Linked DNA regions of Mus musculus: regions 2 and 3 are each reported to be linked to region 1. The links are microRNA targets in miRTarBase. Many come from high-throughput screens and were not tested one by one. Region 1 holds a microRNA gene; each other region holds the end of a gene's coding sequence.
Evidence for each region. Region 1 holds the annotated microRNA mmu-miR-301b-3p (CAGUGCAAUGGUAUUGUCAAAGC, at 1,929-1,951, opposite strand). A microRNA usually pairs through its seed, bases 2 to 8, with sites in the 3' UTR of a target mRNA and lowers its output. Matches are read on the target gene's strand: a 7mer-m8 pairs with bases 2 to 8, a 7mer-A1 pairs with bases 2 to 7 and ends in A, and an 8mer does both.

Region 1 (3,149 bases):
GACCTCCCCTGATATGTACATGTAAGATATGTAAGATATGCACATGTAAGATATGTAAGATATGCACATGTTAGGATTCCTAGCACCTCAGGATGGATCTGCTGTGGCAACAGCTGCTGACACACGTCTACCCTAGCCACAAAGGAGTGTGGTTGCTTCTTCCCCATCAAAGCCCTCCGTCAGGCCTGAGACTCATTATGTATCAGAGCAGTCCCCATGGGTGCCAGGACTTGTGGAGCTAGAGTACTATTAAGGCTGATTTTCTCAATCTATTCCCAAAAGGGAATCTGGAAGCCTGGGCCTCCTCTCAAGGAGGCAGGCCTGACCACCTCCTACTAGGTTTTTGTTTGTTTGTAAAAGAGGGGTGGGTGCATTGAAACAGGGCTTTACCATGTAAATATAGCTCTTCTGGAACGTGCAGGGTAGACCAGGTTGTCCTTGAACTCACAGAGATCTACCTACCCATGCCTTCCCTGTGCTGCATTCAAAGGCATGGGCCATTGGGTCTTGCCGCTAAAGGTAACTCTGCAAGCACACTAAGGATCGGGCATCCTTAAAAATTCAGCTCCAGGGCTGGAGAGATGGCTCAGTGGTTAAGAGCACTGTTCTTCCAGGGGTCCTGAGTTCAAATCCCAGCAACCACATGGTGGCTCACAACCATCTGTAATGGGATCCGATGGCCTCTTCTGGTGTGTCTGAAGACAGCTACAGTGCACTCATATAAATTAAATAAATAAATAAATAAATAAATAAATAAAAATGAGCTCCAGCCCTGTCTGGAAAGCAGACATACCAGACACCTCCATGCCTCTCCTACTCAGCACATACCCTCTTTGTAAAGGAGCAAGCAGACATGGCTGGCAGGCCTACTCTGCAGGCTTCTTGTTCCAAGTCCATCCATCTGGCCCAGGCAGGACACTTCTTCTGAGCCTCAAGGTGTGAACCCAAGGTGTGGTTATCTCAGGAAAGGCTGAGTCCAGTTCTTCCCGAGGCAGTCAAGGCTAAGCAAGGTATACAAACCTTTTCCATACAAAGAGGTGAACATCTGTTTCTCTCCACAAGGTCCTGGAGTTCCTAGTTTTGTTTTGATTCTTCAGACAGCTTCAAAACTGAGACAATCTTCCTGCATCAGCCTCCAGACATGGGCTCACCAATCTTTCTTTCTTTTTTAATTGATTAATTAATTAATTAGTTAATTTGGTTTTTCTCAAAACACGGTTTCTCTGTGTATCCCTGGCTGTCCTAAAACTCACTATGTAGACCAGGATGCCCTAGATCTGGGTGATCCACCTGCCTTTGCCTTCCAAGTGCTGAGATTTAAGGCATGAGCTACCTACCATTCACTCACCGCCGCGCCCCCTGCAGCAGACTCCCCTATCTTAACCTGGGGGGAGGGGGCTAAGAGCTTGAGACTGGAGCCTTTCCAAATCTGGGGTCTCCCCTTTGTACTGGTTCCAGCCTTGGAATATGGTTCTCAGCATCCACCTTATCCTTTTAGCTAGAGATAGCTATCTCTATCTAAGACTATGATCCAAGCACTGACCCTTTTGTTCCTCAGGCTCCTTAGCTGGCCCGACAGATGCCCTTTCATCATTGCACTGCTTCCCAGAGGCCCACAGTAGTGCAACAGGGAAAGAGTGTCCAACAAGCCTGTCAGTCTCACGGGGTGGGGCGGGGCATGGGGAGTTGGGGTGGCTGGAGTGGGATCTTAGACCTAGAACGCATGCCCACCTGGGCGGAGCCTCGGCCTGAGCAAAGGATGCCCTCTGACCCCAGAGACACGGGCCTGGCTACAATCTCAAGTTTCCATGGAGAAGAGAGTAAAATGAGCAGGGGGAGGGTACGGCCTGCAGGCCTGAGGGGCCAGGCCTGGAAAGGGAAGAAAGAAGGAACAGTAGGTGAGGTGGTCTTCGAGGCTGGTCCCAGATGCTTTGACAATACCATTGCACTGCTTCTCACAGCACAGTAGTGCAACCTAGTCAGAGCACCCGCAGCCAGCAGGAAATCCATCGCCCTCGCTGCACGCAGGGCTGCGCTGGAAATTCAACCACCATGGGTGGGTGGGACATCTATCCAAGCTCGGAGAACAGACGGGATTCCAGCCCGGATGCAGTCCTCTGGACTTATTAACTTCAGGGAACTCAAACTTTCTCTAACAGGCTTCTGATTCTGGTGAGGTACTCCAAGGAGGGAGCTGAAGGGCGAGCACCCGAGGGGGCTCAAACACAAAGGAGAGAGGCCTGCGCTCAGTTGCAGAGGGGAGCACAGTGGGACTACTTGTACCCTGTTTCAGACCAGAACTAGAATAAGAGGGATACTTCACTCCTTGCACGTGAGGCCCTTGGAGTCCGAGATCCGGTCCTTGGTCCATTCCCCCAGTATGAGTTCTGCACTCTATCCTAACAGATTCTCCTGCCTAGAAGAGCAGAACTAGGGCTTCCTGGCATCTGGAGTTTCCCTGGCCTCACCGCACACCCTATCCCAGACCAGTTACTCACGTGGACAGACACCTCTTGTTCTCACCAGGGGGACAAGGTGAAGCTTAGTGGAAGATCCAGGTAGGCGGCGGCCCCGTCATATCTGGACAACCCCGCACCTCAGCACCTCGTGGCGCCCTCTCTCCCTCGGCTCCATCTTTAACCATCTGACAGTCCCGAGGGCCGAGCCCCGGGCCTCAAGGCACAGCGCCAGCCTCATTGGCTTGCGCCTACACCAAGCTTTGCCTCCTGCGCACCTATTGGCTGCTGCTGGAAAGATTTCAAAATAGCCTCCAGGCTCCGATTGGCCAGGCGCCCGAGTTTTGGCTCCACCGTTTTAACAATGAGTTCTACAAACACTTTCTCCTCATTCATAACTCTTGAAAAGGAGCTCTGTCCGCCTTTTCCCAGCTCATTTCTCTGTAGTTATTATAGTGATACTCATGAGGGCGCGTCCATGCTTACTACACAGCTCACCAAATTAGCGAGGGCTCTGAGATCCCGGCAAAGTGTCCTTTGGCCAAGCCAGCGGTTGAATGAACCCCTAGGGGATGCTTCGTATTTCGCGAGAAATTTGTTCATTGCTCCTCCAGGATGGGACATTTACTTAAAAACCGTGGCCTTCCCTCTTTCTGTCCAACTTCAGAGCATCGTCATCAGGAAACCTCTGGC
Region 2 (3,000 bases), not on the chromosome of region 1:
ATTTGCTCAGGACAAGCTCACCTTTCACATCTGGAAAGAAAAACAAAGCTGGTTTCCCTGCTTTATGAACTCAGGTCCCTTCCAGCAAGAAGTCAAACTGAGACATCATCATCTATCTATGATAGACGACCCCCCTCAGGGCAAAGATGCTGCACTAGCTCATTTCAAGGACACACAAGCCCTTTCTTTCACTCACCCAATTACCTTGTCTTCAGATAGCTAGAAACCACACTTACTTACTTTGTGTGGGGACACAAGACAAGAGGGTATGTGTGGAGGTCACAAGACAATTTAAAGGGGTCAGTTCTTTCTGTTGGGTCCTGGGGACTGAACTAGGGCCCTAAGACTTGGTGGCAAGTTCCTGTACCTGCTGAGCCATCTATCTCATCAACCCTCTTCAGAGCATCTTATTATCATTTGGAATTTTGAGTATTTGTCTGGATGCTGGTTGCCTATCACCAGCCAACCACACGAGTGTTCATACATGCATATACGCAGAGGATAGGAAAGGGTGGAGGTGTGGGGGTTCCTGGAAAGCACAGCTTTGTGCTTCCCTGGGCTCTGCCTGCTGTGGGGCCTGCCAGAACCCAGGACACGTTTATCAAGTCCTGAACGAATGAGGAGGATAAACTAGGAGCAGACCGTGCACACCAACCATGGCGCTGTTTCAAAGTTGTGCTTTAATCTCTGCAGTCAGCTCCAATGCAGTGAGACATGTATAAACTTTCATTAACACCCAGAAAATAAACTGCACAGTGAAGCTGACTCAGTCTAATAGCTTAATCCCTTAAATTTTTAAAATTTAATTAAAGCTAGTTTATCTTCAGTGTAAAAACATAGAGGTATAAACAAATGCAAGTGTTATACACAGTAAATTATTAACAGACACTTCCAAACTTGCACAGTGTGTTTTAAACAAATGGTCTTATTGTATCTTTTAATGTTAAGCATAATCCACATCTCAATCTTGAATAAAAATACACAATATATAAACCCACGGGAAGTTCTGTACACAAATCCAAGTTATAGAAATCTGGCTTCAAATATAAATACATAAGTCATAACCACACAGGTCATAACAGCTTATTTACTTTTTCTATTGTGATTTAAAAAAATAGAAAAATATTTTAATGCACATTCAACTGCTATACCAAGGGTCATGACCATGTGCCTTTAAACCATACGTTGTGAAGTACAAAACATCACAAGAGGCATTTTTTGGAAAGAAAATCACTAAGACTGTAGAGTCTACCATATAAACATTCACGTTATAATATGGTAACAAAAATAGTTCTCTCCGCTGAGGACTTGGGAGGCAGAGGCTGAGGGTGTGGCAGAGGCTCAGGGCGTGGCGGTTAGTGCTAGTTTAGAGAAGCCCAAGGAGCCCAGGGAGAGGGAGCTAAGGACTGGTGTGTTCTAAGTTCCTAGCGCAAGCCTAGCACGAACCTGGCCTGAAAGACTCTTAAGGCAACCGAGACTGAGTGCATTTGTCCCCAGAAACACAAATCCTGACCTCCCCTCAACTTGCTGGGTCAACACACCAACCCGGATTGTGCATTATTATGGAGGGAGACGAGGAAAAATTATCATTATGTATGAAAGATGATTCAGTGCAATCAGAAAGGATTCTTTGTGAAGTTTCAAAATGTCTTATTGCCCATGAGCAACAGAGACGCCCTCAACAGGACCTCTCCTGACCAGCAAATATAGATAAAAGGCAAACACTTGAGGCAGACTCAATGAGGTCCCTCGCCCACTCCCACTCTTCACACCGTTTGTGGGACTGAACAGGGCTCTGTTGAGAATGATAGGACTGAGCCTTACAAAGGATTCTTTCAAACATTAAAAAAATATATATCTTTAAGACAGCAGATCCAAGGTGACTAGGCAGAGCTGGGTTTCTTCTATGGCTTTTGACATCGCTGAGGCATATATGAGTGATAACTGCTTCTGACACGACCGCTTTCCTGTGAAAGCCACATTCGAATTGGCCTGCCCACCCCAGCATCTGTGAGGGTAACGGGGAAGGCAAGGGGACCAGCTGAGGGGCTGCAGAGAGGCACAGTCCAGGTGTGGTGAGCAGAGGGCCAAATGTGTGGTCAAAACTGAGGGCTCCAGGAATGAGCTCCCCTGTGGAAGACAGAGGACTGCCCCCAGTTTAATCAACAGGTCACAGCAGCAGGACCCTGGGACGATGCACACCAAGGTAGACTCATAGGATGGTATGCATAGAGCAGGAAAAGGGAAGGTGGGAGTGACAGCAAAGGAAAAGGGAAGGAGGCTGCCCGCATCCTGTGTTGTTACAGCCCAGGAAGGAGGGGCTGAACATTAGGATGGATGACACCAGCAGAACTGTCCAAGTTCTCTATGGGCTGCGTGTGTGTGTGTGTGTGTGTGTGTGTGTGTGTGTGTGTGTGTACACGCACGCATTGGAATATGCTATGGTTTAAGTCAAGGAATATGCTATGGTCTAAGCACATCCCTGAATACCTCTTGTTCGGAATGGCTACATAATTATCTTGGCACAGAAACAACAGGAGGGAGCTCTCACAGCAGCCTGGCCGTGAGCCATTCTGTATACATATAATACAGATGTCAGGAGACGACCCCATCCTATGACAGGTCAAGGAGGAACTCCGTCCTATGCATACTAGAGGCATGGCTTTCATTGAATGTCTTCCAGAACTGTGGAAGAAAAGGAGAACAAGCTCTCTTCCCAAAAGCCTCTGCTCTTTCCTTCACACCACTGGGCTAACACCGTGACACCAGTCCAGGGAACAACTGTCCCACCATACAGTGTGCCTCTTTCACAGTCCCTGAGGAGACAGGTCACACGTCCCCTAGGTCCACAAACTCATCTTCTCGTTTGGCCAGGTCATCTTCGCCTCCTAAAGCTTTCCAGCCACTGGTGGGTAAGACAGGCTTGGCCGAATGTCGCTGGAGCAGTGCAAAGGGGAACAAGGAAGACAGGCGGACTGAGTTCCTGAGCAGGCCGGGTGC
Region 3 (3,000 bases), not on the chromosome of region 1:
GGACTTCATTGGAATGCAGTCCTAAGAAGCGACCCTCTCCAGAGAGAGGAGAACGTCGTGAGAGCACCCCGTGAGAGAGCTCTGTGCCACTACTCCGAGCTCTAAAACAGCTCTAAAACAGCGGGTTTCACCCTGCGGCTTGAATGACCCTCTCTCAGGGGCCACCTCAGACCCTTGGAAAACACAGTTACTGACATGACAATTCATAGCAGAAAGGTCGAGAGCCACTGCTCCAAAACCTGTGGATTTAAGCAACAACAAAAATATTTGGGCCAAAACTATTTTGTTTCCTGAAATTTCGTAAGAAAAGGAATTTCGGTAAACTGAGTATTCACCCGCTTTTCTATCTCATCCGCCCTCGGCCCTGGGAGAGATTGGGTCTGGGATGGGGAGCGGGGAGTCAGAAGCTTTGTGATGGCGGAGTGACAGCTGCCACGCAGGCTGTCTGTGTGGGAAGCCACCGTGCTGCACGGCACAGCAAGGCCCCTGGCAGCTTGCTTTGGACGCTGTGAGAACACTTGTGAAACTTGTGTTCTTAGGGTGGACACTTTTCTTTGCACAGGGGAATTCTAAGAAGACCCGGAATCGGTAGTTGATGACCTAGGCTGCCACCGCAGTGACTGTTCTGCCCTGAGACTCGAGCCAGACTCCACAGCCAGTGCTGGTGACCGCTGGGAAGCCGTGTGCCCTTGGACTTGGTAGATGAGCCAGTGCTGTCTGTGACCTGGAGACCTTTGAAGAATATTTGTGAACAGAAGCAAATACAGAGCCCCATGTTGACAGTCAGATGGAAAGCAGTACACATACCCGTGGACATTGTAGGTTTCCTTACGCTGTTTTTACTGTGCACTTTTTAAAATTAGGATTTAATTTCAGTATGTAAGAACAACAAATATTTTGTATATTTTCAAACTCAATTATATGGTAATGGATTTGGTATCTATGGAATAGATATATGTTTCTGGATAAAATGCTTAAATTGTCAGATGTCATTACTTCCTGTATTGTCATTTCTTCCTATAATTGAAAACTGAAAGACATCTCAGATTCCTTTTAAAAGAGTCTCTCCCTTGCCATGTCTCTCCATCCCTTTCCCTCCCCTTCCCCCTTGTCCCTTGAAGGTGACAAGCCTTACAGCCTTCTAGAGCCTATGGGTTCGCTGTCATGTCTGCAGCTGTACAGTACACTCTCTGTGTTCAAATAATTGCTAAAGGAAATTCTGTCAATAAATTCGTACCCACGTGAACTTTTCGGTCTGTGACAGTGTGGTGAGAGACACTGAACCGCATCCGGTCCCAGCTGACTGAGAGGTGGCCTTCTTAACTGAGCAGTTGCACAGGTTAGCCTGTAGGAGACCCTTGGCTTTTGCTGGAGACCACTCTTCAAACAAGGACCCTAAGCCCTTTCAGCTCTCCCTGGACAACCCCAGGGTGCCTCTCCCTGTACCCTACTCCCAAGGCCACAGGCGTGTGCCTTGTGCTCAGTGGCTTATCACGGTCCTGCAGAGAAAAAACCTGAGGGGGCTGGTGAGATGGCTCAGCAGGTAAGAGCACCCGACTGCTCTTCCGAAGGTCCTGAGTTCAAATCCCAGCAACCACATGGTGGCTCACAACCATCCCTAACGAGATCTGACTCCCTCTTCTGGTGTGTCTGAAGACAGCTACAGTGTACTTACATATAATAAATAAATAAATCTTTAAAAAAAAAAAAAAAAGAAAAAGAAAAAACCTGAGGCTTGGAGGGCCAAGGCCACAGTCAGGAGCAGGCGCCTGAGCCTGCTCACCGAGACGCCCGAGACGGCTCTGGTTGGGGCATCACACTCCAGGTGCATTGTATGTGGAGGGTAAAGGATTGAATTTCTCGGTCTCTGAGACTTTATCCAGCTTCCCCTTTCACACCTTTATTCAGAAGCCTGTGCGCTGCTAGCCAGCTTCTTAGATTCACTTCAAGGCTGGATACAGTGTTCCCCTTTGGCATAATTTTTTCTTTTTTAAAAAAAATTCATTAAAAAAATCATGTACATATTTATGTACCTATGAGAGCAGGTGCCTGTAGAAGCCAGCGGCGTAGGGTCCCGTGGGTACTGCTGTGGGTGGTTGTGTGAGCCTTGCTGGGAATAGGGCTCTACAAGAGTAGCAGCCACTCTTAGCTGAGTCTCCAGCCTCTGGCATGATTGTTTTTCTATTCTGACTTAAAAAGAAATTAATTTTTATTTTCTTCTGTATATTACTGCTTCGCCTACAGGTATGCCTACGCACGCACCCCACTTGGGCCTGGTGCCTGCAGAGGCCAAAAGAGTGCATTGAGTCGCTTGGAAGCAGAGTTACAGCCTGTCTGTTGTAAGCTGTCATGTGGGTGTTGCGAACTGAAGCCAGGCCTTCTGCACGAGCAGCAAGTAGTCTTAACCACTGAGCCGCCCCAGCCCCTGACATTTTAAAATACGCATTCTCTCCCATACAAATCTTCCAGTTATCGAAACGAGTTGAGTGGATTTATGCCACTAACTTGGTTGTCATCACTTATTATGAAAGTCTTGAAATAGACATGTCTTAGGGTTTTACTGCTGTGAACAGACACCATGACTAAGGCAACTCTTATAAGGACAACATTTAATTGGCGCTGGCTTACAGGTTCAGAGGTTCAGTCCATTATCATCAAGGTGGGAACATGGCAGCGTCCAGGCAGGCATGGTGCAGGAGGAGCTGAGAGTTCTGTATCTTTATCTGAAGCTGCTAGGAGAAGACTGGCTTCCAGGCAGCTAGGATGAGGGTCTTAAAGCCCATGCCCACAGTGACATGCCTACTCCAGCAGGGCCACACCTTCTAATACGTGGGCCAAGCATATACTGAGGTAAAACAAACAAAAACAGTCCCCCAATCCCCTGCTTACCGTGGGCTCTGTAGAGAGAAAAGCTCTTCCACTCACTGGTTTGGTCTTTATGTTCTCAAATGGCATGTACTTATCCTGTGATTTTTTTTTTTTTTCCTGCTGAGCCCTGGC

Region 2: miRTarBase lists Mtmr12 as a target of mmu-miR-301b-3p. Seed matches in the 3' UTR shown: 7mer-m8 at 1,610-1,616.
Region 3: the mRNA of Ppp1r21 is a reported target of mmu-miR-301b-3p. The part of its 3' UTR that is shown has no 7-base or 8-base seed match.

Annotation. Positions count from the first base shown.
Region 1 is chr16:17,122,492-17,125,640 of GRCm38, forward strand. It overlaps Mir301b (microRNA 301b), which reads right to left and starts at 2,005; the gene lies at 1,909-2,005. It overlaps 2610318N02Rik (RIKEN cDNA 2610318N02 gene), which reads right to left and starts at 2,711. Exons shown (of 7, transcript NM_001358255.1): 1 at 2,499-2,711. Mir130b (microRNA 130b) reads right to left here and starts at 1,651; the gene lies at 1,570-1,651.
Region 2 is chr15:12,269,901-12,272,900 of GRCm38, reverse strand. Mtmr12 (myotubularin related protein 12) reads right to left here. Exons shown (of 16, transcript NM_172958.4): 16 at 661-3,000. The coding sequence ends at 2,830. Among named protein-coding and RNA genes, the nearest start is that of Gm52210, 49 kb to the left of the region's middle.
Region 3 is chr17:88,587,122-88,590,121 of GRCm38, forward strand. Ppp1r21 (protein phosphatase 1, regulatory subunit 21) reads left to right here. Exons shown (of 22, transcript NM_028658.4): 22 at 563-1,246. The coding sequence ends at 592. Among named protein-coding and RNA genes, the nearest start is that of Gm31704, 37 kb to the right of the region's middle.